4 linked regions of the Nothobranchius furzeri genome follow. The protein of the gene in region 1 purifies or fractionates together with the protein of each later gene. This does not show direct contact. Links are inferred from orthologs where the notes say so. Each region holds a gene or a part of one and is shown in the gene's direction. Other genes may lie near its edges.

Evidence for each region.
Region 2: the proteins of fgf11b (region 1) and sirt1 purify together in Homo sapiens (affinity purification with mass spectrometry; 3 studies listed by BioGRID and IntAct, with this or other methods). This does not show direct contact. The link is inferred for Nothobranchius furzeri from reciprocal best matches to the Homo sapiens genes FGF11 and SIRT1.
Region 3: the proteins of fgf11b (region 1) and ube2o purify together in Homo sapiens (affinity purification with mass spectrometry; 3 studies listed by BioGRID and IntAct, with this or other methods). This does not show direct contact. The link is inferred for Nothobranchius furzeri from reciprocal best matches to the Homo sapiens genes FGF11 and UBE2O.
Region 4: the proteins of fgf11b (region 1) and ahcyl1 purify together in Homo sapiens (affinity purification with mass spectrometry; 3 studies listed by BioGRID and IntAct, with this or other methods). This does not show direct contact. The link is inferred for Nothobranchius furzeri from reciprocal best matches to the Homo sapiens genes FGF11 and AHCYL1.

Annotation. Positions count from the first base shown.
Region 1 is NC_091750.1:51,449,526-51,457,042, reverse strand, and holds the start of fgf11b (fibroblast growth factor 11), read left to right. Parts: upstream 1-3,441; 5' UTR 3,442-4,249; coding exon 4,250-4,442; intron 4,443-7,517.
Region 2 is NC_091752.1:5,650,640-5,658,217, reverse strand, and holds the start of sirt1 (NAD-dependent protein deacetylase sirtuin-1), read left to right. Parts: upstream 1-3,271; 5' UTR 3,272-3,278; coding exon 3,279-3,627; intron 3,628-5,621; coding exon 5,622-5,735; intron 5,736-5,851; coding exon 5,852-6,087; intron 6,088-6,162; coding exon 6,163-6,315; intron 6,316-7,578. Other genes in the region: dnajc12 (dnaJ homolog subfamily C member 12), read right to left, coding at 2,452-2,529. UniProt on the Homo sapiens protein: NAD-dependent protein deacetylase that links transcriptional regulation directly to intracellular energetics and participates in the coordination of several separated cellular functions such as cell cycle, response to DNA damage, metabolism, apoptosis and autophagy.
Region 3 is NC_091747.1:74,397,646-74,404,632, reverse strand, and holds part of ube2o ((E3-independent) E2 ubiquitin-conjugating enzyme), read left to right. Parts: intron 1-1,322; coding exon 1,323-1,477; intron 1,478-1,557; coding exon 1,558-1,670; intron 1,671-1,755; coding exon 1,756-1,884; intron 1,885-3,302; coding exon 3,303-3,392; intron 3,393-3,463; coding exon 3,464-3,779; intron 3,780-5,429; coding exon 5,430-5,797; intron 5,798-5,866; coding exon 5,867-6,047; intron 6,048-6,149; coding exon 6,150-6,286; intron 6,287-6,987. UniProt on the Homo sapiens protein: E2/E3 hybrid ubiquitin-protein ligase that displays both E2 and E3 ligase activities and mediates monoubiquitination of target proteins. Negatively regulates TRAF6-mediated NF-kappa-B activation independently of its E2 activity.
Region 4 is NC_091755.1:28,367,466-28,374,998, reverse strand, and holds the start of ahcyl1 (S-adenosylhomocysteine hydrolase-like protein 1), read left to right. Parts: upstream 1-3,633; 5' UTR 3,634-3,811; coding exon 3,812-4,003; intron 4,004-7,411; exon of another isoform or gene 7,412-7,488; coding exon of another isoform or gene 7,489-7,521; intron 7,522-7,533. Other genes in the region: nfyal (nuclear transcription factor Y, alpha, like), read left to right, coding at 1-69, 1,372-1,545, 1,621-1,731, 1,836-1,898. UniProt on the Homo sapiens protein: Multifaceted cellular regulator which coordinates several essential cellular functions including regulation of epithelial HCO3(-) and fluid secretion, mRNA processing and DNA replication.

The DNA of each region.
Region 1 (7,517 bases):
AAATTGAAAATGTGCATAAGTCCATTTATTTCAGTAATTCACCTTAGACTGAGAGACCATCTAAAGACTCAGGAACCCTTTGCAGGAGTACTGGATTCATTGGCAGATTAGAGTGTGACACTTTGAGTCTAGAATATTGAACCTTTTCACAATATTCTACTTGTCTGAGATTTTGTATCTGTAAGCCATAATCATGGATCTTATAATGAGTCTGTCTGTCTATATCTTTTAAGCTGAGTTACTGAAATGAATTAACTTGTACTACTACATCTGATTTTCATGCTAGCATGTTGACAATTAACTTCTATTCCAATGATGGAAATTCAATAATTTTTTTAAATGTGTGGAGTTTGTAAGAATTCATGTATCTTTTTTTCTTCTGTACCCAACTCCTAAGGATTGTTCTCAGTGGGTTTATGTTCCAAGAAGTTTCTAGGACAAGGAACCAAAATGTAAATGCTTTCTGCAATGATTTTAGCCTTATGGCACTGTGTTTCACCCATCGTCATATATACTGGACAATTCATGTCCATAGGCTCCCAATAATAAGTTTTTAAGCCAAAATGGGAGGTGGCCACCACCTCCATTTTGACTGTGTCACAGGTTCCGTCAAGCCCAGACAATTCCAAAAATGGGAAGAGAGGTGGAGCTGAGGGTGGGGCTGTAAGGCTGGGATCAAATGACAACACCTGTCGAACTGAAACGATGTAGCTACAAGGTAACCCAAAGCTAACGCGGAGGTGGGAGCTAAGCTAACAGAGGTAGCAACCTAGCTACAACTGGAGTTAACTGTGCACAACACCAGAGCTTCTGAGTCAGAGATATGCCGGGCTGACCGCTGGGTAAAACCGGGTGGAACACAGAGGTCTCCTGAGAGCTCCACAAGCCGTCAGCCGCGCAGCAGACAAGTGTCGCTGCAATCAGAGATGCGCAGAGCTGCCGCTGGGGAGAACTGGGTGGAAAATATCTGTTTCCATCCGAGAGCTCCACAAGCTGGCAGCCCGCACATCAGACAGGCGCAGCGACGATCAGAGATGCGCTGAGCTACGGGGAGGGAAGAACCGAGTGGAACACAATGGTCTCCCGAGAGCTCCATAAGCCGGCAGCCGCGCAGCAGGCAGGCGCCGCAGTGTTCAGAGATGCGCCGAGTCGCGGGGAGTTGACCATACCGATAGTCGGAATCCAGCTCCACCAGCATGTTATATTTTCTAAAATGCAGCGTTATGTTAAATGCACTGGGTTTTACCCTATTACATTTAAATTTCATTGTTATACAGTACATGTTAATATCTAAGCTCAGCCAGTGCAACAGTGACAGGGACATAAAATACATTAATATAATTTTACTTACCAAAAAAATTAAGTGGAGACTCCTTGGATGCTCTATTAGTGCAATTAATACCACAGCAAATCATTTTGTCTAACAATTGCACAAATAATATCCAAAAAGAATGCACAAACGGCACAACTAATGATTGTTGAGGGACTGAAAATCGCGGAACAGTTTTCAGGCGAGGCCGAGGCTCAGGCTGAGGCCTTTCCATGGAGCTAGCTCTGCGGTCACGTGTGTCGGATGCTCATTAATTATTCAGAATTTTAGGCATTTAATACACTTAAACAGAAGAGTGACAAAAAATGCACCCCCCTCAGAGTTGTCATGAGTGTAAACTAGGTCTATTAAACCTAAAACATGTTTTGGAACCAGGCTGTAAATACATGTTTTTTTCTGCTGTGAAAATGGTATTTTTAACATGGGAGTCAATGAGGATTTGATCGCTTCCGACACCAGCCCCCAGCGGATGAGGGTGGAACTGCAATTTTTGACACTTCCGTGTTGGCTTCTAATTCATTCCAGTATCATGGGGAATTATTATTATTATGTTGGAAAAGGCATTGTTCATCATAACTAAACCACTTTTGGATAACTGGGAGGAGTTCCTCTTGGAGGATGTTTCAGTACCATTCTTATTTAATGACTGTATTCCAAACTGTGAATGAATCCATTCCCTTGGCTGAAAAGCAGCAACCACACATATGCTTTACTGTTGGCTTGACACAGGACTGACGAACTAAGAGAAAAATTCTGATTAACCAAAGAATATTACTTCACCCAGTTCCTGGACCTTTTGCAGGGTGTTGATCTTTCCCATGCTTTGTTATTGATGAAAATGGCTTTATTGCTGCTTTTCCAGACATCAGACCATCCTCCAAAAGTCTTCTCCTCACTCTGCCGTGGATGTAGTCACACTTGCCTCCCTGCACTCGTCCCCCCTCTCTACTGTCCACTCCTTGTTCCCTCCTCTCCATGATTGATGTCAAGTTGTTGTTGTTATTGTTAGCCTCAAGGGCAACATGCCGATTATCACTTGTAAGTCGCTTTGGACAAAAGCGTCTGCTAAATACATAAACATAAACATAAACTTGCCTACTGCCATTCTTGAACAAGCTCTACACTAGTGTTGCCCTGATTCCACAGCTGGATCATTATCAGAAGATGATGGTGCTTGCTAGACTTTTTGAAGCCTTCTTCATAAACACAGTGGACATGTTTTCCACTTAACATTCTGGAGTAAAGTGCCATCATAAAATCTGAGGCAGGACACTTGTTCGCAACTAACATTTGTTATATTTTAAAATGTGTGACCACCATTGTTAGGACTAAATTATATTAAACACTTGCCCATAGTCTCAACGATGCTCCAAATGCTCTGCTGCAGGATGTTGGTGTTTACCAGCAATGGTTGAGGTTTCTTTGTCCAAAACTGTTAGATTGCTGCACAAATATGATTGCACGTTTGTGTTTTTTTTTTTTTCATTTATTTATTTATTTATTTTTTGCTGCCAGAGAGAAGCTAAGGGATGTTGGGAGTGATCCAATGTAAGTTTGCAGGTCTTAGCTTAACTAAATCCGTCCAAGCTGGTGTTCCAGTCTGCTTTAGTGTAAGCTGTCATTCAGTTACATCATACAATAAATGACACATTGATGGAGCAAAGTCCCTGTTACTGATTCCAATAAAGAGGTCTGCGAGTCAGAGATGAAGACAAACCATGAGCAAGACCAGAAGTCCACAGCTAAACCCGTTGAGGTTTTGATGTGCAGATGTGTGGGAGTATGTAGGAAGGTGAAGCTGTTGCTAATGGGGAGACAGAACTATTGTCGCAATCCTCTCCCCCAGTCAAGCAGTCAGAATGATTAAGCCTTGTTTTATTTTGGGAATCATATCCGTAAAGTAAATTTGTAGTGAAAGGGGTTGTTTCTCTCATCCCAACCATGATTCCCTCCCTCTCTCCTTCTCATGAATGTCACCTCTACTGATGGAGGTTTTCACACACGCGCACACACACACACCTCCTCATTCAAGCGCTTGCTGACTTCGGATGGGAGGAGGAAGAGGTGGAGAGAAGTGAACGAGAGGGAGAGGAGGAGGTGGGAGGCATGGGGTGAATGAGGGGGGAGTGTTAGGACTGTGTGCCATCCGGAGGCAGAAGAGGAACCTCTTGTCTGTGTGTGTTCATGTCTCCGCTCTGTTGCCGACTGCTTTCCGACAAACACCGTCAGCATCCCGCCTGCTGCTCTACATCTGGAATTAAGTCAGCTGGATTACCGCTCGGACTCTGCGCTTGCTGCTCCACTCTGCCACGTTTAAATGGGAGGCAAAGTTGGATCTGTTTGGACAGCACGATGGGGGACAAACAATCAGATTTTTCCTGCTCTTTTAAGAGTTTCCTAGCGTTCAAGATTATCTCACTTTTTTTCGGTAAAACTGTTTTTATATGTAATTTAGTTTAATCCTCTTCTCTTTGCTATTGTGTATTGAAAGTAGGTTAATTAGTTTGGAATATTTAGAACTTGAGGCACATTTTGATGTGAAACAATGAGTGGGGAAGCAGGTTAGGGGCATGTCTCCTCTCCCTCTTTTTTTAAAAGTTTTTTGTTTTGTGATTTTAAACAGAAAATGTGACACTTGATCCACGTGTCTGCTACAAAGAGGTTTTTTTATTGTTTTTGGCCAGAGTTGAGACTTTACAGTGGACTACATCTGATATTACATCTCTCCCACATCTCCCCCTCTCAAAGGGAAGCATCTTCCCTGTTAACCCACTTAGTAGCCGGATTTCCCCTGGGGGGAGTTCTTTAAAACATCTGTCCTACTCCAGTTTTTTCTTAAGAGGAGCAGAAAACCAGCTAGGAAAGGGGGGTACAGAGAAGTAACATACCCCCCTCCCAAACGTGTGAGGGGGGGAGAAGATGGCAGCTCTCGCCAGCTCTCTCATCAGACAGAAACGGGCGGTCAAGGACGACCAAGCCAACCGACCAGTTGCCAACAAGCGCAGGCCCTGTCCCAAGAGCAACAAGTCCCTGTGCCAGAAACAGATTCTGGTTCTGATTTCTAAAGTTCGGCTGTGTGGGGGTCGGAAAGCTCGAAACGAGAAAAGACCGGGTGAGTCACTCCCGATGCTTTGGTGTTTTTAATAATTTGTGCTTAATAAATTAGATCTTTAGTTTTAGCGAAGTGCAAAATTTGAACCGATTGTAAAGTTCAACAGCTAAACTTGTTACTTAATTAATCAAAATGAGTTCATTACTTTATTCTCACGTCCAGTGTAGAATCCAAAAGTCCAAAATGGTTTCATTATAGTCAAAATGCTCCTACGTTGTTGTTCCCTTCCAAACAAACCGCAGTGGTAACACTTTATAATAAGGGTCCCTTTAATAACGTTAGTGCATTTTTAAGCATTAATAAACTATTAAAGTATTAACAACTGCCTAATAATAAACTTAATGTGCATAACTAAGCCCATTGTTAATAGTAAATGGCCTGTATTTCTAGAGCACCTTCTTAGGATGCTACAACCCCCCAAGGCGCTTCACAACACGATCAGTCATCCACACAGTCACACACTGGTGGGGAAGAGCTATGATGTAACCACAGCTGCTCTGGGGCGCACTGATGGAAGCAAGGCTGCTGAACACTGGTGCTACTGGTCCCTCCAACCACTACCACCAGGCAAGATGGGTTAAGTGTCTTGCCCAAGGACACAACGGTAGCATTCTCTGGTTGGAGCCAGAATCGAACCTGCAACCTTCTGATTACTGGAAAATCCACTCTACCTCCCGAGCTACTGCTGTCCTAACCTTAGGGACACTTAATAGTTAGCAACATCGGGAACGTTAATAAAGAGATCATTTGTTTATGATGCTTAATAATGAACTAAATAATGTTAATAAAATAATCATTTTTAATAAAATGTTACCACAGCAGCTGTTGATCTTCTGGTATTGGAAATGAGGAACTTTGTGTAAGTTGTTAATGATAAAATAATAATTTAATGTTTATAAATTTTCTACATTTTACAAATTTAAAAAAATCCAACAAATGTCCGAAATTGTAGCTGTTCTAATTAAATTTCATTTTAGAACTTAAATTTAAGATCATATGTTCAGAAACGATACAACATATTTAGGAGAAATCTTGGAAAACAACACCATGCACCATGTAGGGTGATTGTGCTAAATCTGCTCCTCGTGAAACGTTATTTCATTGTCTGTAAAGCTGACAGGCATTTTTGTTTTCCAAGGTCAGATGGCTGTGTTATCCATTCTGAGTCGGGTCGACTAGTAAAGACTTTCTGAGAATTTCATTAGAATCCACCAAGTTGTTTGTGAGACAGTTGAGATTGCTACCAACACTTAAGTGAAACACTTAAAACAGATACTGCACATTGTGTAGCACTCAGAGTCCACGTTGTCAGTCTGTTAGTTACTACGGCACAAATTATGGCTTAATATTAAAAAGGTGGTCGAGCCTGTTTTGTTTGTTAATGATGATCAGCCATGGCAGACATCTTGAATTGGGTAGAGTCCATTGTTAACCACTTGTAGATGTACATCTGATGAAGACTTTCAGAACAGTTCATTCAGTATTTCCTGTATGTAGCAAACATTCAGTCACCTCTTGGTAATAGTCAACAAGAGCTGAATATTACAGCTGATAGCATGCTTTTTGTTGTTTTTACAGAATATAATTTTTTCTTTCATTATTACATTGACTGATTGTTTTGTAGCACTACCAAACAGGTAATATGAGCGCTCTGCTAAAGGTAAACGATGCAGATGAGAGAAATGTTGCTGAACACACGATCTTCACAGAGAACCATGAGATGTGATACTGCTCTGTATTCACTTGGTTTGTGGTCTGTGGGTCTGGCTGTTTTAATCTAACTGCCTCTTTAGCTGTGTTTGTGGTGCAGTTTGAATGCACAGCAACAGGGATGTCTATCAGCCAATCAAATCTCATTCTCACCTAATGTAATAAAAATAATTCATTTTCCTGTTTATGTTACTATGTAATCTACAAGTAAATAGTTTAATGTATCATTTGTATTCTTAGACACATTTTTGTATGTTGTATCTGTTTCAGTCTAAACCCCTACAATCCCTGGCTTTCATAAAACTGACTGTTTACATAATAATACCAGATGTTTGGTTGCTGCTGCCCTGCCAAGGGGGGATTGATTGTGGACGCAAATCAAAATGCTCTAAGCTCATGCACAGTTACAATAATATCCCTATGATTCCATGAAATGGTAAATATTGTCCTAGCTTGTCCTGTCTGTTTGGGCATCTGTGTGTGTGTGTGTGTGTGTGTGTGTGTGTGTGTGTGTGTGTGTGTGTGTGTGTGTGTGTGTGTGTGTGTGTGTGTGTGTGTGTGTGTGTGTGTGTGTGTGTGTGTGTGTGTGTAAATTGCTCATGTGCTAACACTTATTTTATAGCTCGTTAGAGAAATTGAGGTGAGGTGGTGCTCACTCCTCACCCCTGCCACATGGACCCAAGGGATAAACCATCAACCCTGCTCAATGGTCAACTTTCCTCACGGGGTCACACCCATTAGGACAGTGGGTGGGTTTAAAAAAATCGTTTTTTTTTTCAGTCAACCACACCTTAAAATATCAGTTTCCCACATTATGGAACATAAGCACACATAGCTCCTTATTTGCACAAGTTAGGATTTTTATCAGAATCCTAAAAAGATCCTCTATCTCCCTTTCTCTTGTTCGACAATGAGAGAATTACTTTTGCCATCGTTGTCACTAAATAACTGATATATTATCCTTTACAGCAATTTCACAACAAGCCTTTAGTAGGAAGACAAGCCTTTTGATGAGGAGATCAGCGATAAAACCAAGCTGATTATACCTGCTCATCACCTCCTCCAGGAGTTAACTTGTTCCAAAAGATCCTTTGAAGTAGAGGCCCTTTCACTGTCAGCAAGCTGCACTGTTGCCCTCTTTTCAGATCAATTCAGCTCATTAATATATAGTGATTAATCAATAACCCACTTCTTACTTTGTTCAAGGTGGAATCTGATTTGAAAAGGGGGGAATATTGAACTGCCTGTCTCCGTGTATCACCTTCAGTATCTTTCTTTATGTTGACTCAAGTTAAACATACATGATGTGTGTGTGTGTGTGTGTGTGGGGGGGGGGGGGGGTGACATTAAAAACATACAAATAAG
Region 2 (7,578 bases), on another chromosome or scaffold:
AGCAGCTTGTTTGAAATGGCTTTGTCATCAATTTTGGTTTATTTAGACTTTGGCTTTTGTTTGAGTTGAAAGCAGACAGAGGTACTTAAGTCCTTTATTTAGAAAAATGATGTGTTTGCGTCTTCTTCGACGGTGTACGGTGGACTGCCTCATCAACCAAGTCAGGAGATGCTGCTGCCCCAGTTACCTCCCCCTCACACCTATCTGTCTCTAGAAGTCAGGTGAAGAGGCAGCTGGAGAGACTGAACAGGAACAAGGCTGCAGGTCCGGATGGTGTCAGCCCCAGAGTACTGAAGGCTTGTGCAGAGCAGCTCTGTGGGATTCTGCAGCACCTCTTCAACCTGCCTTGTTCCAGTTCCAAAGAAAACTCGCCCATCAGTCAATGATGACTACAGACCGGTTGCCCTGACATCCCACATCATGAAGGTCCTGGAGAGACTCCTGTTGGTCCACCTGAATAAGCAAACTAGAACATATCAGGACCTGCTGCAGTTTGCTTATCGCCATGGAGTTGGAGTTGAAGATGCCATCATCCAGCTGCTTCAACCAACCCACTGTCATCTGGACAAAGCAGGCAGCACTGTGAGGGTCATGTTCTTTGATTTCTCCAGTGCATTTAACACAATCCAGCCTGATGTACTTTGCCAGAAACTCCAGAAGACACAGGTGGGGGCCTCAACTATCGCCTGGATTAAAGACTACCTGACAAACAGACCACAGTTTGTGAGGCTGAAGAACTGCACATCAAACCAGGCGATCAGTAACATTGGAGCACCACAGGGGACTGTACTCTCACCATTCCTTTTCACCCTGTACACCTCAGACTTCCAGTACAAATCAGAGACCTGTCATCTACAGAAATACTCCGATGACTCTGCAGTTGTCGGGTGTATCAGAGATGGACAGGAAGCTGAGTACAGAGAGCTGGTGGAGCGCTTTGTGGCATGGTGTGGAAACAATCATCTGACCTTGAACGTGAACAAAACAAAGGAGATGATTTTAGACTTCAGAGGAAACAGGGTGGAGTCAAACACTGTTTCCATCATGGGAGAAGAAGTGGAGGTGGTTGAGGAATACAAATACCTTGGAGTTCACCTGGACAACAGACTGGACTGGAGAAAGAACAGTGAAGCCGTTTACAAGAAGGGACACAGCAGACTGCTCTTCTTGAGGACGCTTAGGTCCTTCAATGTCTGTAGCAAGATGCTGCAGATCTTCTACAAGTCTGTTGTTGAGACTGTAATCTCTTCAGCCGTCGTCTGTTGGGGTAGCAGCTTCAGAAGCAGGGACCTGAAAAGGCTCAACAGCCTAATAACAAAGGCTGGTTCTGTTCTGGGGACGACTGTGGAACCACTGGAGGAGATAATGCAAAGAAGGATTCTCCAGAGAATCAAGAAAATTATGGACAACCCTGAGCATTCTCTCCACAAGACTGTCCGACAACGGAAGAGTGTCTTCAGTCAGAGGTTTCTTCAGTTTGGCTGCAACACTCACCTTCCTGCCAACAGCCATTGTAATATACAACAACTCTTTGACGACTTGATTATTATTATTATTATTATCCTGAGCTACTACAGCAATCAATTTCCCTCTGGGATTAATAAAGTATTTTTGAATTGAATTGAATTGAACTGACATTCGTAGTGGTGAGTACATTACGTTGTTCAATGCGGAGACAGTTTTAAAGACAACGGTGGATTCTGCCTCATGGCTGAGCTCTCTCTATGGGTTTTGGCCAAACTGCCGGTATATATTCACATCTATAGGATGGCGTGTTGTCGCATGCTGACCGGGTATGAGCAACTGATATTTTACATGTCATAGTTATTTACCAAACACTCTGTGACTAATATGGCTCATTCTCTGAGAAATTGTTTTCAGATTGGAATTGTTTTAAGATCTTTTCTTAATGGTCACACCACGGCTAGCTAACTCTTTTGTTCACATGAGCTAATCTATTCATTTTTTCTCAAAATTTAAACATTTCAAAAAGCAATCCAAAATTATTAATTAATCGATCACCTTTTCACAGAACCCCATTTCAGGAGATTTGAACTGCCCCTTTAATGTGTGTTAAATTAGTGGTCTCTATGGTGACCACTGACAACAGTTTTAACATTTCTTTTCATCTCTATGCTGTACACTTTTTTTGATAGTTTATGCATTAAAAAAGTAGTTATATTGTCTTTGCTTGGGTCACTTAAGTAGCCGTTGGGATTTAGTTATTTTTTTTTAATTATCTAAATTAATAGACACATTTTTCACCACCCCACCCACTGTGTGGCGAATCAACAGGTTGGTTCAATGAACAAATAATAAGTTCTGATTCACTTAATGAACATCATCCGTGTTTATTATTGTCAATGCGTGTCCAATATTTGTTTATAATGCATGATCTTCTCTCTAAATAGATGTTTTGCAAATAGCGAGAGTCAACTGACCACAACTTACCGATGACAGTTCGTCACATCCTAATAACCCGTAATAATCCTCCAAGTCCTCTGGTTTACAACTCAAAAGCGTCTCCATCGGATCCGATCAGATCAGAGAACGTTTGTTTATTTCGATCGGAGCTGTGTGATGCAGTTATCACAGCTGTTCACTTTCTATGGTTTTCGGTGCCCGGACAGTTTGTTTTGCTTTTACTGTTTTTCCTCACCCTGTACTGTTTTTCAAATAAATTGTTCTAAATAAAGTGACTCTGACAAATTTCTAATCTATGAAGATACGAGTCAGTAAAACGTAGCTATCTTTTCCCTCAACATGTGACGCATGCTGCATTAAAGTGTTGTGGTAACAATTCATCTCAGCGCAGTGACTACAGCTACAGAGGCATAAAATACTACTGAAATCTAGCTTAAAAAACTGTGGAAAAAAATAAATTGTGAAGTGAAATAGGGGCAAAATTATTTTCACCCAAACCAATATTTTATGTTGCAAAATGCTACAAAAAAGGGGAATCTTCTCTTTGCCATTATTCTAATACTGTCATTTCCATGCTGACGTCTTGTGCTGTAAGTACCAAAAATATTTATGCAAGTTAGATTATATAGTCATAAAAATACGAGTTATTGAGCATTTTTCCCAAACGTTTTAGGCTTTTATTTTTTGTTATGCGCGTTACTGCAAAGAAACCCAACGACACCTGAAGGCAGCAGTAATTTGTTGTAGTCTTAGGTATTTGCTCTTCCTCATTGGTCGAGAAAGAGTCACGTGTGCTATGTAAATGAGCCAGCTGTCCGAGAGGAAGGCTTTGCGCAGCGGCTCTGGGGTTGAAGATGGCGGATGAAGAGAATAGTCTCGGAACGGCCTTTTCTGGCGCCTTCATAACGGATGAACCTGCGACGAAAATATCAAAAATGGATACGCCGACTAATCATGGGCTTAAACCCACTGAACCGGACCAGCTTTCGCGCGTCTTTGCAGCCACAGAGAGTCGGGAAGCGGCGATAAAACGTTCGCAGCCTTCCGAGAAGGAAGCAAAGCCGGTGATGGAGGTAGAGCAGGCCCCAACAGCGGCGCGGGACGGAGACAACAATGAACGGGGAATTCCGGTCTCCGAGCCACAGAGACCGGCTGGGAAACTGGTCGACAGTGCTGTACTTTGCTCAACCGAAGAAGTCGCAGGTATGAATAACGCTTACCTCTACTAGCTTACAAACGTTGCGGCTGTTTGGTTTACAGCTCACCGGCAAACTTGATGCTTAAGTGACAGCGAAACGGAATAAACCTATCGGTTTGTGTGTTTTCGGTGTAATGCAATTTCCTCTAACCATAAACGCGTCCATAGGTTTTAAAGTCCACATCACTTAAACTGTAAGAAACTTTGAAGCCAACGTAGCGTCATTTAGCCGGTGTAACGACAGAAACGTGTGCACCGTCTTATTGCGCTGGATCGCGATTATTTGCGATACACGGTATCATCAGCATATAATAATATTATAACGGGCGTTACTTTAGTTCTTAATGAAATGCCAAACCTATTATGATTAATGATAAATGACCCGCACTTTTATAGCGCCTTTCAGAGTCGGCGGACTCCAAAGCGCCTTACACTACAGTGTATCATTCATCCACTCACACACCCTTGATGATAAGCTACAATTTAGCCACAGCTGCCCTGGGGTGCACTGACAGAGGTGAGGCCTCTGAATACAGATGTCATCAGTCCCTCCAAGCATCAGCAGGCAAGGTGGGTTAAGTGTCTTGCTCAAAGACACAACAGCAGTCTGCCAGGTTCGAACTTGCAACCTTAGGATTACATGACAACCCGCTCTACCCCCGGAGCTACTGCCAGATTTCTAGGCTATCTTTGTACCACAGCAATAACTCATTTTACTCTTAAGTGGATGCTTACTTTTTATTCATTTGAAATATATTATTTAAAAATTATACGTAATTAATTGGAAAATTACATGTGAACTAAAAGTTGTTGTCATTACATTCTGTTCACAGCAGCCTCACACTTAACTGCATTGAGCATTTTGTTATAATTTGTCTTGTGCCTGGTTTCCACCTTATGCATAAGCAGCGTGTAAGAAGACACAGATAATAAACACCTATAAGCAATGGTTTTTTTTCCACTGGATGTGGAGTGGAGCATCTCAGATGTGTCGTAGGAGTGGTTTGCTGTAAAGTCGCTGACGCTAGTCTGACTCGATGCAATCCGCTGGATTCCCTTATACTGGAAACTTTGAAATTATTGGCATGATTAACTGAACTCGGTTGGAATGTTTACTTGGTGAAGTGCCTTGAGAACAATTCTTGTTGTGATTTGGTGATGTATAAATAAACTGAATTGAATTGGGTATGTTTTTCTAACCCAGCCTTTCCACTGGATGTGTAAGCGGCATGCGACGTGATAGAGGAGTTTTACTTGTGAACTCCCTTCCAACTGGGAGCATTTCAGGCATGAAACGGGAGTGAAAAGGTGAATGCCTCCTCCGGGTCAGGGATGAGGTCCTGCCCCAAGTAGAGGAGTTTGAGTATCTCAGGGTCTTGTTCATGGGTGAGGGAAAGATGGAGGACAAGATTGATGTGTACTGATCTGTCGTGGTGAAGAGAGAGCTGAGCTGGAAGGCAGAGCTCTCGATTTACCGATCATCTACTTTCCTACCCTCACCTATGGCCACGAGCTTTGGGTAGTGACCGAAAGAACAAGATCGTGGATACGAGCGGCCCCCGCACCATGAGAACAAACATCTCGGCTCTAAAGCCGATCTTCATCCGCATACGTCACACGTCACGTGATCAGGAAGCAGAACATCCATGTGTTAGGAGATCGTTTTGGGCCGCTGCTGTAAAAAAAATGAGGCGCGAACGGAAAAAGCTTCTGCCGATCACAATTCAACAACGGATTATGAAAGAACGGATAACGCTCGAAACACGCGGATTCTTCCTGATGTAAGAGCTGAGTCTCCGCTTTGTTTTGGTTGTTTTGGCGTCGACATCATCCTAGCGCGCAACGTTCTGTCACTCTTTAAAAAAACAGTAAAAACGGTGAGAAACGCTGGCAGTGAAGGGCTTTACCGATCTGGAAACGGCTGGCAGTGAATGAGTTAAGCGTCCACCGGAAGGCCCAGGTTAGTTTCTAACTTCTTTCTTTTTATTTGATTTTCTAGGACATGACGATCTGCCCTCCAACGGCCTTGCTGCCTCACCGGAAAACCTCAACGATGAAGACGACAGATCTTCACATGCAAGCTCCAGCGACTGGACTCCTCAACCCCAAATAGGTAACTGGGACGATTTGTCTGGCATTTCCTAAAGAAAAGTGCCTTAAAGACAGATAAAATTCTTGTGGATTTGTTTGAAAATGAAGTTTCTGACTGTTGTTTTGTTTTCTGGCCAGGCTCTTACAGTTTCATCCAACAACACATTAGAGAGACCGATCCGCGAGCCATTCTAAGGGATTTGCTTCCTGAGACTATACTCCCTCCAGATTTAGATGACATGACACTGTGGCAGATCATCATCAACATCTCAGAGCCTCCGAAGAGAAAGAAGCGGAAGGATATAAACACTTTGGAAGATGTGGTCAGGCTGCTTCAGGAAAGCAAAAAGATCCTTGTGCTGACTGGCGCTGGGGTAGGCATTTACAGTTCTACTCGTCTAGGACTGTATTAGAGTAATGCGATCTTAATCTTCTCTTTTTGCTTGTAGGTTTCAGTTTCATGTGGAATACCAGATTTCCGCTCAAGAGATGGGATTTATGCACGACTTGCTGTAGATTTTCCCGACCTCCCAGATCCTCAGTCTATGTTTGATATCGAGTACTTCAGACGGGACCCTAGACCCTTTTTCAAGTTTGCTAAGGTTGGTTTGTGGTGTCTGCTGAGCTTTTCATGCAGGCTGAACATGAAGATAGTCTCCTACACCTGTCTCCTGCTTTAGCTTCTGATAGAAAACAAACGGTGAAACTCTAGGATTAGAAAAGCCTGACAGATCTACGTCACGCTGTCACTTAACATTCATGGACTCGCCCATCCTCACTCACGACGGGGAAGGCTGTTGTTGGTTTAGCGTCAAGGAAAAGGAAGCTAACAATTAGCATTAGCAACTCCACCACACAGCAAAACTCCTTTTAGGATTGTGTTACTTTTGGAGATTAAACATCAACATTGCAGAGCAGAGTCAGTGGTAGAGTCGCTTTGCTGTTAGCCAATCAGAGGCGAGATGTCCTAATATCAGGAGATAAGACTCCAAAACCTGCCATGTTTCTTCTCCTGCCGACTTTTCTGACCCCAGACAGCCGCACCAATTTTTTCCCCAGAGTACGACACTTAAATTCATTCCTACTGGCGACTACTGTAAATGCATTAAAGTACAAGTAGAGTTAACCATACATAAATATAAAAGTATGTATTGCTCTACACCCTCAGGTTTTGGCACAGTAAAAAAAGGTTTCACTGAAAACTTTAAGATGCCTCAAGTAATGAGTCAGAAAAGGGCCGGATGATCAAAAACAGACCCAGACGGGCTCCGTCAACAGGCCTTCCCCTCTCAGCACGTGACTTAAACATGGGAGGTGGAGGTTGTCCCAAATAAAGGTTACGTAGATCACTAGCATGGCAATATTTTAGTTTTTACAAGTTTTACAGAAATAAACAATGGTTGTTTGCAAAATTAGCAGAAAATTGATGAAATACAAGTCTGGTAACACGACTAACTTGTTTATCACAAAGTAATGACTTAAAATGACCAGGGGTCTCATTTATCAAACATTGGTAAATCCGTACTAAAACCGTACTTAAGCTCAACAAAAAAATGTACTTAAGCCAAGCAGGTTTGTGATCTATCAAACATGGAGTACACACAGCTGCACGCAATCTCCGCTTCATAAATCAGAGACTATCTAGAAAGGTTCTCAGCTGCATTTTAGTCACATCTCGCCCTCACCACGCCCACTTACTGCCATAAATGGTCAATGCAAAGTGCCTTGTGGATCTCATGCATATACATGAGCCGTTGCATATACATGAGCCGGCTTGTTGCAGCATTTCGATCATGACCGCAGATCAAGGAGGCGCTATTTCACAAGCAGAAGTTGAGGTACTTGTGGGTGAGGTGGAGAAATGA
Region 3 (6,987 bases), on another chromosome or scaffold:
AGAGAATTAAAATAATAAACACTCAAAAGTATCGAAAATTGGTACCGTTAAGTACCGGTATCGACTCGTAGGTACCGGGAATTAGTACCGGATCGATTCAAATGTCAAAGGTACCCATCCCTAGTCTGATCCTCGGTTACAAAAGCTGGCTCTCGGTACGTGGACTGTGACCTCTGTGATGGAGAGTCGGAGTTGGTGTGTGTGAGGTTGAGAGGACTCACCTCGACGCATGGCTCTGACTCCAGAACCGGTTCCACTCTGGAGCTGCTCCCACTGAGAGGCCTCCATCCTGGTGCCTGCACGTTGGCGAACGAGAGGGTAGCCTCCCTCTGTCTACGTGTGGTGGGGTCGGGTCCTGGCTGAGGTCCGTGCTCATCCACCTAACTACAGCTCAGACTACCCACCGTTACTGGAGTCCATGGAGGAGGCGCTGGAGAGCGCTTCTTACGTTGGCTTCCTCGTTCTGCTGGGGGACTTGAACACTCGAGTGGGTAATGACGGTGAGACCTGGAGAGGTGTGGTTGGGAGGAACGAGCAAGGTTTTGTCACTGGACCTCTGTGCTCACCATGGATTGTCCATAATGAACACCATGTTGTCCACATGTGCTCTTGGCACCAGGATACCACAGGCTGCAGCTCGATGATCGGCTCTGTCGTTTCATCTGATCTTGGACGCTCGGGTGAAGAGAGGGGCGGAGCTGCCAACTGACCACTGGGCAGGATGCTGGTCAGACCTGGCAGGCCCAAACATGTTCTGAGGGTCTGCTGGGAACGTCTGGCCGTCTCCTGTCAGGAGCTTCAATTCCCACCTCGACAGAACTTCCAAAACGTTTCTGGGGGGGCGAGGAATATCGAGTCCGAGTGGACCCTGTTAGGTTACTCAGCTGCCTGTTGTGGCGGCAACTAGGGATGCAACGATACCACTTTTTTCCAAACCGATACGATACCAATACTTGGATCTGAATACTTGCCGATACAGATTACAGATTCCGATACTTCTACCACACAAAAAATGCAATGATTTGGAATACAGATTTTATTTTCTTCTCTTCTTTCAACAGGAAAAGACTGTGAGGTAGATAAAAAGTAAAACATATGAATAGAAATAATCCCAAAAATAAAATATTAGGTGAACAGAAATGACAAGTTACAGTGAAGCCATTTTCAAGCAACTGCATTGGTATCAGTTAACTTTTACCGATACCGATACTGGTATCGGTATTGGTGCTTCCCTAGCGGCAACCCCCGAACCCGCTGCTGGACACCTTTGTTATTAACCAGATCTGAGTAGAAACCTGATCAGGGTTTGTTTTCTGTCTCAGGGTGGCCGTGGAAGTGGTATCCACAAAAACCACAGCCGATGTGATGTGGAAGGACGGGCGGGTGGAGAAGGGCATCAGATCAAATGACCTGATCCCCATTCAGCACCTGGACAGCCACGAGTTCTGCCCCGGGGACTTCGTAGTGGACAAACGACGTGAGGAAACAACGCTAGCGTTCAACAACCCCGTGTCACTGGCTCTCTGACCTGTGTGTATGTGCCCCCCCCCCCCACAGCTCAAAGCCTGCAGGACCCAGGAGTGTACGGTGTGATCCAGTCTGGAGATCACAAGGGTCGGACGTGCGTGGTTAAGTGGATCAACCTGAACTCCAGCGGGGACGGCGTGGAGGTCAGCCAGGGACGGGTGTCACAGGGAGACGGGTGAACATCACAGGGTGCCGACATTCCTGTTTGTTTATATTTGTCTAACGCAGGTCATCGGCGTGGAGGAGGATGTCAGCGTGTACGACATCTCCGACCATCCAGATTTCCACTTCCGCACCACCGATATAGTCATCCGAATCTGGAACTCCGAGAACGGACAGAACGACTGTGAGAACGAGGTGAGCGTCGCTCTTCTGAGACAGACGGATTCATAAAGCCGGGCGGACACTGTGCGACTTTTTCACTCGTAGCACTCAGCTTCAGCTCAAACTGTACGACTTCCTCTCAGGACAGATCTCACGAGTCCTGGGGGGGGGGGGTCAGACCCATGTTAAGAAGAAGAAGAAAATATCATTTCTATAGCGCCTCTCAAGATAAAAATCACGAGGCGCTTAAGCATAATTCTGCGCACACGAAGACGCATAAGAGTCCTGGATGATGAAGCTCAATGGTTAAAGGAATCACTGAAGCGGTGTGAAGCGCTCCGTCGTGCGTCTACACGGTACCGTAGGAGGCGAGCTGCCGTGGTTCGCCGCATGCTACAGCAGCGAGCTATCTAGGTGCGCACAGCGTCCCCCGGTCCCCTCCTCCTCCCCCTCCCCCTTGTCCGGAACTTTACCTCACCAGTCTGAAGCAGCCACCCTGTCCGTAACAAGTCCGGACCTGTTACTAGGGGCTTCGTCCGGATAAATTCCGGAACACGTTATCCGGATGTTTGTATTCAGACACAAAGGTCTTACGGACAGAGTCCGGAACATTTCCGTTTTTCATGGCCTGTCTGAAGGGGGCTTTAGGGTCGCAGCTGCTCGCAGCGCCGCTTCAACAGTGCGATACCCTCACGAGGGACGAGCGAAATATTAAACACGCCAGAAGTCCGTGCGAGCTCACGACTGCTGATCGGTAGCTGGTCACGTGGTGTTAATCGCCTCTCGTAACCCCCTGTACACTACACGACGCTCGGCACAAAACTCACCCCGATCTCGTGGATTCTCGCACGAGTGGAAAATCGGCTCAAAAAAGTGAAAAAGTCGCACAGCGTACGCCCGGCTTAAAGCACTCTGACTCACCGAGTCGGCTCCAGATCCCCAGAAACACCTGTTGTGTTTTTGTAAATGTTGAAACGACAGCAGGAAGGATAAAGGAATCGACGCAGATACTTCATTTAGATCTCCGGTTGATTTGAAAGACGAGGTTTGGGTGAGACCGTCTCAGCAGTTTACATTCAGACTGACCCCGGGTCAGCAGCAGCAGCACCTTATATTTGAATCTGGATCATGACACGCCTGATTCAAATGTCACCACGAATGAGCTTCCAGAATATCTCGAGTCGTTCCCGAGGGTTCTCAGTTTCCTCGTGCGAGTCACGTGGCTGTAATCCCATGTGGAAGTGGAGAAATGTTCAAGAAATTTCTGCTGAGTCATGGCGGTCGCTGGAACCTGCTTGAGTTTACTTTGAGTCACAAACGTGAGACGGCGTTGTGTGTGGTTAGACCCCGTTTCTAATCGAATCAAGGGAGGACAAGTCATGTGACGTGATGGAGCAACCAGGCTCTAACCACGCTGCTGGGGTGTGTGTTTGTGTGTGTGTGTTCCTCAGACGTCAGTGGGACAGGTGTCCAGAGTGGACGTGAGCAGCAAAGTGGAGGTGGTCTGGGCCGACAACTCCAAGACCATCGTCCTGCCGCAGGTGAGTGCTTGTAAAAACTAGAGCCGTTTGCATCATGAGCGAGCGCTTCAGCGACTCTGACCATCCCACAGCACCTCTACAACGTGGAGTCCGAGATCGAGGAGACGGACTACGACTCGGTGGACGAGACGAGCAGCGTCCTGTCCACCGAGGAGTGGGAGGACGAGAGCGACAGCTGGGAGACGGACAACGGCTTGACCACTGAGGACGACGGCCACGTCAACAACGCAGACGCCACAGACACGGCCACGCCCACCCCCACGCCCACCGGCTCTACCGCCTTCATCCTCCCCCCTCAGGAGGGCAGCAAGCCGGCCACCAGTCCCACCAACGGAGCTCCTGCAGCGGAGGGAGAAGCAGCGGTGGCCAGTCCTGCTTCAGGAGGAGGTGGGGAGCTTCCTGCTGTCTTGTCTCGTGGTTCAGGGTCGTCTCAGGCCTCAGTCTGAGGGGCAGCTGCGCAGCACAGATTCATATCTAGTTATTGTCCGGCCAGCGTGACCTTTAACAGAAACGACTGTAGAATAAACCAGACTGATGTAATCCGATTACATCAGATGAATCTTACCCCCAAATTCCACTACCTCTGCCCCGCCCCCGCCTTCCGCAGCCGCTCGCTTCCGAACTCAATTTTTACTGCTACCCGCTCTACAACGGCTCCGCTCCGGTGCGGAGACCTGAGGGGGGCAAACAAGCATGCGCGGGATTTTCGAGATCTTGCGATACAGTCCGAGCAATAAACGCGGAAGTTAGATCCAAACACCCGTTGTGTGGGAGAAGCATCGACATGAACTGTTTAATCTGCCCATCATTTGTGTTGAGACATCAGCAGTGTTTGGATCAACAAAGTGTGACTACTTTGATAGTAGAAACTGTATTTATGGCTTACTTTTGTGCATTTAAACTTCAGCCGCCATTGATAGTTGTTAAAAGTTGTTAAACTTGTGCATATGAAACAAAAAACGCCTTTTGTTTATCGATTTATTGTGAAAAACGGAGGTTGTGCTTGCTCCTTTTCCTGTTGGGCGGTTGTGATTTCTGTCCATTTACTGCGGAGGTGCTCCGGCGTCCGGCGAAAATAGGATCGATTCTATTTTTGCCGGACACCGGAACACCTCCGCAGTAGTGGAATTGCTTTGATTGACTACAACGGGACCGATTTTGCTCCGGCGGTCGTGTCGGAGCGGAGCGGAGGTAGTGGAATTTGGGGGTTAGTCCCGGGGTACACATCTGGACAGCTTCACAGCTGGATTATCCATTTTATCTGGAGTTTTCATTTTAGAGAGCCAGCAGGCACCGGTCTGCTCCAGCAGGTGGCAGAATCGTGTTTAGTGGTGAAGTAACTTTTACCTCACGAGTATTAATACACGAGCTTAAGATAAAACAGGTGTGTAAAGCTTTAAAGAGTCCATTTTTGGTCCTTTTTTTAAAACACGGATGAGGTTTCTCTTTACCTCGCTGCTGCAAACGAAACCATCAGCAAGGTAAAGAAAAACCTCGTCTGTGTTTGAAAACGAACCGCAAATGGACTCAGAAGACGAACACAGCAGCGGCGTACAAGAGGAGCGTTAAAGAGGTGTGAATTTCAAGGCAGGAAATGAAACCGGGGCTTCACGGAGGGGCGGTTGGTAGTACTGTTGCCTTGCAGTGTAAAGGTTGCTGGTTCAAGTCCCAGCTCCAGCTGTTCTGCGTAGAGGTAGCACGTTTTCCCCGTGCACGTGTGGGATTTCTCCGGATACTCTGGGGTTAGCTGGAAAATGTGTGGGCAGTCTTCCGTCTCCGTGTGTCCCTGTGATGGACCGGAGACCTGTCCATGGTGTCCCTCTCCTCTCACCCGCCGACCGCTGGAATTGGTCACGAGCGCGAGAGGGAGGGAGTTGTGAGTTTAATTCTTCACCAGTGGAAGCTTCTGGAAAATCTCCTAAACTCTGAATTATATTTTGACAAACGTGAGGTCAACAGGACGCGATCAAACAGGTTTCAGATCTTGATGCTAACGGCAGTTTTACGGACTGTTGTGTGGTCTGTCGTCCGGTGCAGGAACAACTCCAGCGGCGTCGGTAAACGGAGCGGAGAAGCCCAACAAGGACGGTTCCTCTCGAGGGTTCAGGGAGCTGAGGGAGGCCCTCAGGATCCTGGAGAGTCTGAAGAACATGACGGTGGAGCAGTTGTGGACCGGTGGCTCGCCAACCTCCCCGACCTCAGCGGAACCGGTGTCCACGGCCAACGTAGCGAGTTCGGTGATGCCTCCTGCCTCTGAAAAACCCACCAAGGAGAAGCGCTTCCTGGACGACCTCAAGAAACTGCAGGAGAACCTGAGGAAGACTCTGGACAACGTGGCCATTGTGGAGGAAGAGAAGATGGAAGCTGTTGTGGAGTCTGCTGGGAGCGGCGGAGCAGGAACAGAGGTAGGTGTCCCGCTGCTGTGATGATCCGCCTCGTCAGTAGAGGAGGTTTGACCCGCCGCGTCTCCTCAGGCAGAGAGGAGCACGGAGGAGAAACCCCAGCAGGAGCCACAGACGCCGGTGGGGAACCAGGAGTGGCCCAGTGAGTTCCTGAGCGAAACGCCGGTGCTGTGCCAACAGAGTGGAGGGAAACCTGGAGTGACCTTCACCAGCGCCAAAGGGGAGGTGTTCTCGGTGCTGGAGTGGGCTCCAGGTGAGGTCACGGGTTCCTCACACGGGTGTGAAACCGTTAATCTACAGATCAACAAGAGCTCAGCTGTGTAAAGTTCACTTTCATCCGTTTCCTCACCAACAGACACTCACTCCTTTAAGAAAATGGAGTTTCAGCCGGCAGAGGCCAAGAAGTTTTTCAGCACAGTGAGGAAGGAGATGGCTCTGCTGGCAACGTCGCTGCCCGACGGCATCATGGTCAAGACCTTCGAGGACCGCATGGTGGGTTTTATCTGATCCGTACTGACACGCACGCACGCACGCACATTCACTCACGCACACGCACGCACGCACATTCACTCACGCACACGCACGCACGCACATTCACTCACGCACACACACACACATTCGCACACACACGCACACACACACACATTCACACACACACGCACACACACACACATTCACACGCACACGCACGCACGCACATTCACTCACGCACACGCACGCACGCACATTCACACACGCACACACACACATTCGCACACACACGCACACACACACACATTCACACGCACACACACGCATGCACATTCACACACGCACGCACGCACGCACGCACACACACACGCACGCACACTCACACGCACGCACGCACACACACACGCACGCACACACACGCACGCTCACACACACACACACACACACATTCACACACCCGCACGCACGCACACACACGCACACACATGCACACGCACGCACGCACGCATGCACGCACGCATGCACACACACACATGTGCACGCATGCACACGCACGCACGCACACACGCACACACACACGCACGCACGCACATTCACACACACACACGCACGCGCGCACGCACATTCGCACACACACACACACACACACGCACACGCATGCACACACCTGATGACGTAGATGTTTTTTTGTCCAATCACCAAAGATCTGTTTTGGTTTGCTT
Region 4 (7,533 bases), on another chromosome or scaffold:
GTCACCCTGCCCGTCTCTGGCAACATGGTGAATGCAGGTGGAATGGTCATGGTAAGACCCTGTGCTGAGGTACCCAACATCTTTTTACTCTGCTTTTCTTTCTGAATCTAGACTAGCACCAAGGTGTGGAGAGTGGGGAAGATCTCACAACAAGAGTAGCTCTTTTTTAAAATTACTTTGATCAACAGTCACCTTTTCACCACGTGTCCTTGTACTAATCACTAATCACAGAACATGAGAACCATTCACCCAGTTGTTTTCAGTTATTTTTGTCATATTTGTTCCTACGCATGCATTAATTCACCAGTCACCACACGTGTGTTGGAAGCGTAAATAGTATTTGAATTAATTATTCAAAATCTTAATTATATATGTATATATATATATATAATGTATATGTATATATGTATATATGTATATGTATATATATGTATATATGTATATATGTATATATATATATACATATATATATATATGTGTGTGTGTGTGTGTGTGTGTGTGTATATATGTGTGTGTGTGTGTATTGATGCTGTGTGTTTTCTGATAGAGGTCTGCCCAACTTTAAGGGCGGTGTGGGTCTGAAGCTTGGTTTATGCTTGACGCATTCACTTTCCGCGCGGTGATGCGGCTCGCGGATGGAACGCGCTTCACAACTCGCAGCTTTTATGGTTCGTGCGGCTCGTCTCTGCGGTGAGCCAATATTCTCCCAAACTGAACGGGGCAGCATGGAGCTCTACGGCAAACATCCAACACTACACCATAGTAGAAGTAGAAATTACTGTTTACAACACGGCATTTCAGCATTTTTAACAGCATTCTCGTCTTTTCCGACATTGCGAGCTATTTCTCTCCAAGAATTATTAACAACATGTTGATCACGGTGATCTCTGAGAGCTGAATCATACAAATGTCTGTATTTATGAACCTCTGCCATACTAGTTCTTGCTGGTCCGCCATGTTTTTCCGCGTCCGTCCGTCCACGTGGTTAGAAATTTTCCGAGGTGCGCGTTGCGGAAATTCTGGGCCGTCCGGAGGCGCGGTGGAGGGGCGTGGTTGTTAAAATGACGAAAAATGACGCAACTTTTCCGCGCGGAGCCGTGCGGACCTCGCGGACACGTCAAGCATAAACCAACCTTTAGAATCAGACATGATCCAGCTCCCCAGTAACGGACCTCTCAGACTCGGCCTTTAGAGCGACTCAATTCTTGTTAAAAACATCTGTCTGGGTCCAAAACAATGTAATTGTTACGTTTTAACAGCAGATCTGATGATACAGATTCAGATAGTTCACTTATAATTGTCTGCATTTCATTTGAATTGTCAGGGGTTCTAAGTTGTGTGGGCCGTGCCTGTTTGCTTTACTCCTATCAGATGGTGCCCGGAGGGGGCGGAGTTCCCACAATGCAGCGCATCCCACTGCCAGGGGCCGAAATGCTGGAGGAGGAGCCTCTGTACGTCAACGCCAAACAATACCATCGTATTCTGAAGCGACGGCAGGCCCGGGCCAAGCTGGAGGCTGAGGGCAAGATCCCTAAAGAGAGAAGGGTACGTTGTCTCCAGTATTAGGTACTTCAGGAAAGGTTTACCGTTTATTCATGGTCATTTATTTATTTCTTACAGAAATACCTACATGAGTCTCGCCATCGTCACGCTATGCAGCGTAAGCGAGGAGACGGAGGACGGTTCTTCTCCCCTAAAGACAAGGAAGAAATGGAGTTGGCTTTGGCACAAGTAAGAGTCTACACCTTAAGGCTTTAAATGACAGATTTGAGTTTTCACTGACATATGTGGGTAATTTGATCTCAATTTATGTGTTTTTCCTTCGTATGACGCAGCAGCAGGACGTAGGCCAGACGGCGCCGGATGAGACGGTGGCCCAGATGATCAGAGTCTCGTAGCACTGTCACCAACATCAGTACTTCTGTCTGAATTTTTCCTCGGACTCTTCATCCCAGCTAAGCATCGAACGCGTTTGTAATCCGTTCTGACTCACTACGCCCAACCGAGCACTCAGTGGCGCGCTTTTTGTTTTTCCCTAAACGTCTTTGCTGCTTTTCCAGAGAGTCGCTGCTGAGCCAGTGAGGATGCATTCATGCTAACGTTGTCTGGTTTCGTTTACAGGACCAGCAGCGTTTTGTTTTCTTTGGACTTTGTCGAAACATGAGAAATGAGGCCATACTCTGTCAAACCCTGTAAAAAAAATAAGACTTTTCTCCAGTTGATGCATTTAGTTTTAAATCATTTTGTAAATGGTACCAGTTTTTTTAAGCATTTATTTTCACAACACAGCTGTTTTGTATTGTTAAGAATTCCTTTTAATTTGAAATGTAATTATTTAAACCTTTCTACTATTTGGAGTGTATCCTCCATCGTCTGAGGACAAAAGAGGAGTTGTGTTAGTACTTTGAAAATATTGTACAGAGAAATATTTGTTCCCTCGTGTGTGTTGACATCCTTACCAGTTCTGTTGGTGCATTTCATACAATTTATAGTTAAACTTGGTGTTTTGGCTGAAGCAAGGAATAGTTGAGTATTGCATCACATTAACACACTATCAGTGTACAGTAGATCTTTTTTCTTTTAGTCCACATAGGTGGTTTTTATTTTATTGGAGGTAATAATTTTCTTTTTTTTATGCATCAAGTGCAGTCAATACTATTTTTTACAATGTTAAGTGGTTGAACATCACTTTCATAAAATGTGTCAATAAAAATTTTGTAAAATAATTCAAGGTTATTTGTGTTTATTGAGATTAGTAGCAGTCATCAATTACATATTTCTAGTTCTTTTTAAATTAATGGCACATTTCTAATTTCCAGACTTGATGCAGGAACAATATAAGTGGGGCCGTAGATTCTCAGTGAAGTAAAGCTAAATAAATCTGACATCAAAGTAAAAAGTCATTGGGCTCTATGTGCTTTATGAGAGTCATTTTAATAGTTTTTATCCAAGCTTAAAGCTTCTTTATGGATTAATTTGATTTATTTGGATAATCTTTTCTCTTGTTGCATGTTCTTGTGCTTATAGGTGATCACCTTTGGACCAGACCTCCAATATTTCCTTCATGCATGTAGATTAAACATTCTGAAATCCCATTCTATGAGGTCACATTACAGGATTTATTAAAATCAAGTTACTTTAAACTTTGATATTAAAATGTAAAAATTCTTTTTTCCATCCCATTCTAAAGGAAATGGAATGAAAATCTCAAATATATTATTAATGCTATCCTTAAACTGGACCTTCTGGTACAGGACCATGAAAACAAACGCAGCCAATCAGAGGCTGAGGTGGTAGAAATTGGCTATGTGGCTAACCAATCAAATCAAAGTGAGGCGGGGCTTGATCCCAGTTTCCTTGGCAGATTTTACCATGGCAACGGAAAATTATCTACGCGTGCGCTAACTCGTGCATCAATCCTGCAAATTACAAGTAAATATTCTCACTACAAGTAACGAGTAACGCTGGTGTTTTTTTCTAATCCAACAGCCGGCTCTGACTGGATGACTCAGCCCGGATACCGCCTACTTCCTCAGGTGACGGCTCTAGCTACCCGCCCCCTGTCCGTGGCTGACATCCGAACCACAGGAGCGAAACAAGCTGCTCTTTTCCAGAGAACTAGAGGAACTTTGACGCGGGTTTTTGCACTTTTGCATTACTTCTTTAATTTTAAGCCACTGAGTGTAACTAGAGAGCAGGAAGGCGACGTGACGTTCGTTTAAACTCCATCAAGAGCCGGCTCTTTCTGTTATCTTTTACTATCATTTGCTCCTTTTCCTCCTCCATCCAGCATCCGTGTCACTCCGATGCAATGACAGACTCGGCTGTGGACAGCAAGGCGGAGGTTAAACAAGCCACCAAATACGTCAAAGAGACGGAGAACGTGGCGGAGAAATATTCCGCGTTGACTGTCAGCAAGAACAGCAGCGATGTGAACATGAACGTCGGGGAGATGCCCTCCGCAGCATTCACCGCAGTCCCGACTCTGAAATCCGTGAAGAAGGTAAGGAACGTGATGCCCGCCGCCATCACCGGCTGTCATTGGACAGAGATCAGACCGTCACATGTGAGGAGGATAAACGATAAACTCACGTTGGTGCAGAACTGTACCGCAGTCAGCTGCTGACAGGACAGTCGGCTGCAGAGTCAGATCATACACTTCTCACTTCTGTTTGTACGGATGGTGAAAGCTCACGATCTCATATTTATCAAAGCTATGCAAAGCAAATGTAAAGCAATTACAACAAACGTGAGTATTAAGGCGTTATTTATGTTGCCTTACTTTATTGTATGGCAACACAATGTTATCAAAAAGTATCTATGCCTCAGAAAGTGGAGACATTGCTTCAGGGAGAGGAGATCTGTGTAAAGAATGAAGACGTTACTGTGATAATTTACTCAAATCAACCATAAATTTCAATTAGACATTTATTCAACATGCAGGAATGTCCCATTTTTAGTTAATGAAACCAATTGAATGAGTTCAGATCATCGGTTCAGATGTGCAAAATAAGGAAGTGATTGCTGCACACCATACACCTGTGGGAAAAGACCTTGTGTTCCTGTCCTGGTTAACAATGGCTTAAACAGAAAGACCCTTCTCCTTAGGTGGCTGTTCATATTACAGGTCCACCACTGTGTGCAGCAGCTGGGAACAGGCCATGAGTAAACATGAGCTGAAGCACGGGTGATAGGGTAGAGGACATCTTTTGTTTCCCAGAGTCTGAAAAATGCGCCATCTTTTAAAAAAGTAGGTTTTCTTTTATTCTGATCTCAGCAGTGGCTTAAACCTAACGCCACTAATCAGCCCCTGATGCTCATTTCATCTTGTCCATCAAGTCATCATGACCTGAAACTAGATTTATGCCTATAAATACTGATATGGATGCTGATGTTTGCCATTCTCAAAACATAAAAAAAAAAACAAATAAAGAAAATTTAAACAGATATGTCAGTAATAATATATTCATATTTGTTATAACTGTATAAAATATTCATATTTGTTATAATTGTTGCATGTATTACAGCTATTTTTAAGTGACGCAAAGCAATCAAATCATTGTGGATCGAATGAGCGTTCATCATTTAAACTCTATTAATTAATTATTTAGAGTGAAGCTTAACGCTTCATTCTTCTAACCCTGCTTTTAGTGTCAATAATGCACATTTTTTTTGCATTTTCTTCTGCCCCCTTTTTTTTTAGAAGTTGCATGTTTTACTGCTTAATGCAACCTTCCTAAAACTCAGGGAAAAATTAGTCTCTGTGACTCAAAAATGACTAAGTAATAGATTACAAACCCCTGCAGATATCGTATGCCTTTCATGATTGTGGAACAACTGTCTGCATGTGTCAGTGTCACATGACAGTGCATGGAAAAGAACACTCACTCTGCAGATGGACACTACTTGACAATATGTAATAAAAAAACCAGACTGTGTCCTCTTGCACATTTACACTAACAGAATCAAAATGATTACTTTTCCAAAAGAAAGTTTGTTTTCTTTATATTTTTCCTGAAAAAGTGGACAAACATGTCTGATTAATAAAAACACTTATTTTCTCAGCAGCGGGGCTTCAGAATATTGGGTCAGACCTCCTGCCTGACAGGCAATAGCGTGCGGACCGCGATCCGCCTGAGGGAGCCTAGAAAACATATTGGATGACAGGAATGTGCACTGAGCCTATAAAAACAAACCAGCATATGAATGAATGTGAGGGCCTATTGATGAGAAATCCCTGTTGGTTTTGAAAAAAAAAAACGTATGCAAAAAGTGGATGAGAAAGTGTTGGAGTATGATGGTGATGGCGTTTTCTGCTGCATCCCCAAGTGTGTTTTGGCTTCTAGCTTGGTTAAAGAAAGCTTAAAGATGTGGAACACTGAAAAAAAAAACATTTTTTAAGTGATTAAAATCAATCACTCAAGAGTTTTTCATGCAGGCTGAACATGAGAATAGTCTAATACACCTATCATTAGCTTCTGATAGAAAATAGATGGTGAAACTAGGATTAGAAAATCCTGACAGATCTACGTCACACTGTCACTGAACGTCCATGGACTCACCCATCTTGACTCCCGACGGGGGGAGGGCTGTTGCTGGTTTAGCATTCAGGAAACACCAGAGAACATCTTGACTAGTAGAAGCTAACCATTAGCATGAGCAACTTCACCACACAGCAGAACTCCTCCAGGCTTGTGTTATTTGTGGAGATCAAATGTAAACATTGCAAAACAGAGTCAGTAGTAGAGCCGCGTTGCAGTTATCCAAACCAGGGCGAGATGTCCAAATATCAGGAAAAAAGAAACCTGCCGTTTGAAGCTCAGCTGTGATGTGTACGACTAAAGACCAAAAGCCTCTTTTATATTGTACTTTTTGAGTTATTAAAGCAGTTTTACTAATTTAGGTGCTGTTTCTGATGAATGCAACACACTCATCTGAGTGGTTTCCCTCTCCTACAGGACTTATCCATTTGAACCCATCAGGATTCATCCAGGTGTTCTCATTTATCGGCTGTCGATGGGCTAAAAGCACATGTAGTTTATTTATTTATTTAATTTTATTTGCATTGTGTAATCTCACTGATCCATAGCATTCCGTTCTGTTTGCTTCTGAAATCTTGTGGTGCTTTATGTTGGTAATCAGTGGAAGTTACACTTTCAGCTAAAGGTCACACAGTCTCCGAGGGTAGACGGATTAGTGCTCTGTGTGTTTTTTCACAACACTGTAATCGGTTGTGCATGTGTTGATTAAATAGGTGCTTTTGCACTGATTTTGGAGTTTCGGCTTCACTTACATTTCTGTTTGTGCTCTGTTTGTGCATCAGGTTGTGTGTTTGTTGGGTGCAGCCGTTGTGCGTAAGCAATGAAGATGTTTGTGGATTACAGCTAGATGGTGCATTAGACCTGTAGTGGTGTCTGGTTAAGTAGTGTTGCCTTATGTCAGGACCACACTGAGCCCTTACGCCACTGAGCGACAGTCACACTCCACAGCTTATGTCTGTGACCTGGCCCGCTATCTGAGAGAGAACGGGTATTTTTAGCTGTAGGAACAAGAGGGGTGCCGATTAATGCAGCAGAAGGCTAATGAAGACAGGGCGTGATTCCACCTGCCAGTGGCCTTGCATTCAGTCATTTAAATGATGAATAAATAGGTTTTGTAACATGTGACTTGTTATAATGTTCTTGGACTTTATTATAAGTTAAAACCTAAAGAGTGTAGCTGCTGGTTGTCAAGAGCAGAGCCAGAGAAAGCGTCTTCCTTCCGTTTCAGTCCATTAGAAATCATGATGCTAGGTGGGACCCTCCCCTCGCTCTGCCTGGGAGTGTTCTGGGATAATAGCATCAGGGACACCTGGTACCATCCCACAGAGGACACCGAGGCTCAGAGAGGTAGAGTGGAGACCTGGGGAGAGAGAGAGAGAGAGAGAGAGAGAGAGAGAGAGAGAGAGAGAGAGAGAGAGAGAGAGAGAGAGAGAGGTAACGGGTGACTATGGCACATAAACATGGACACAGTAGAGAACGGGTGAGTTACTAC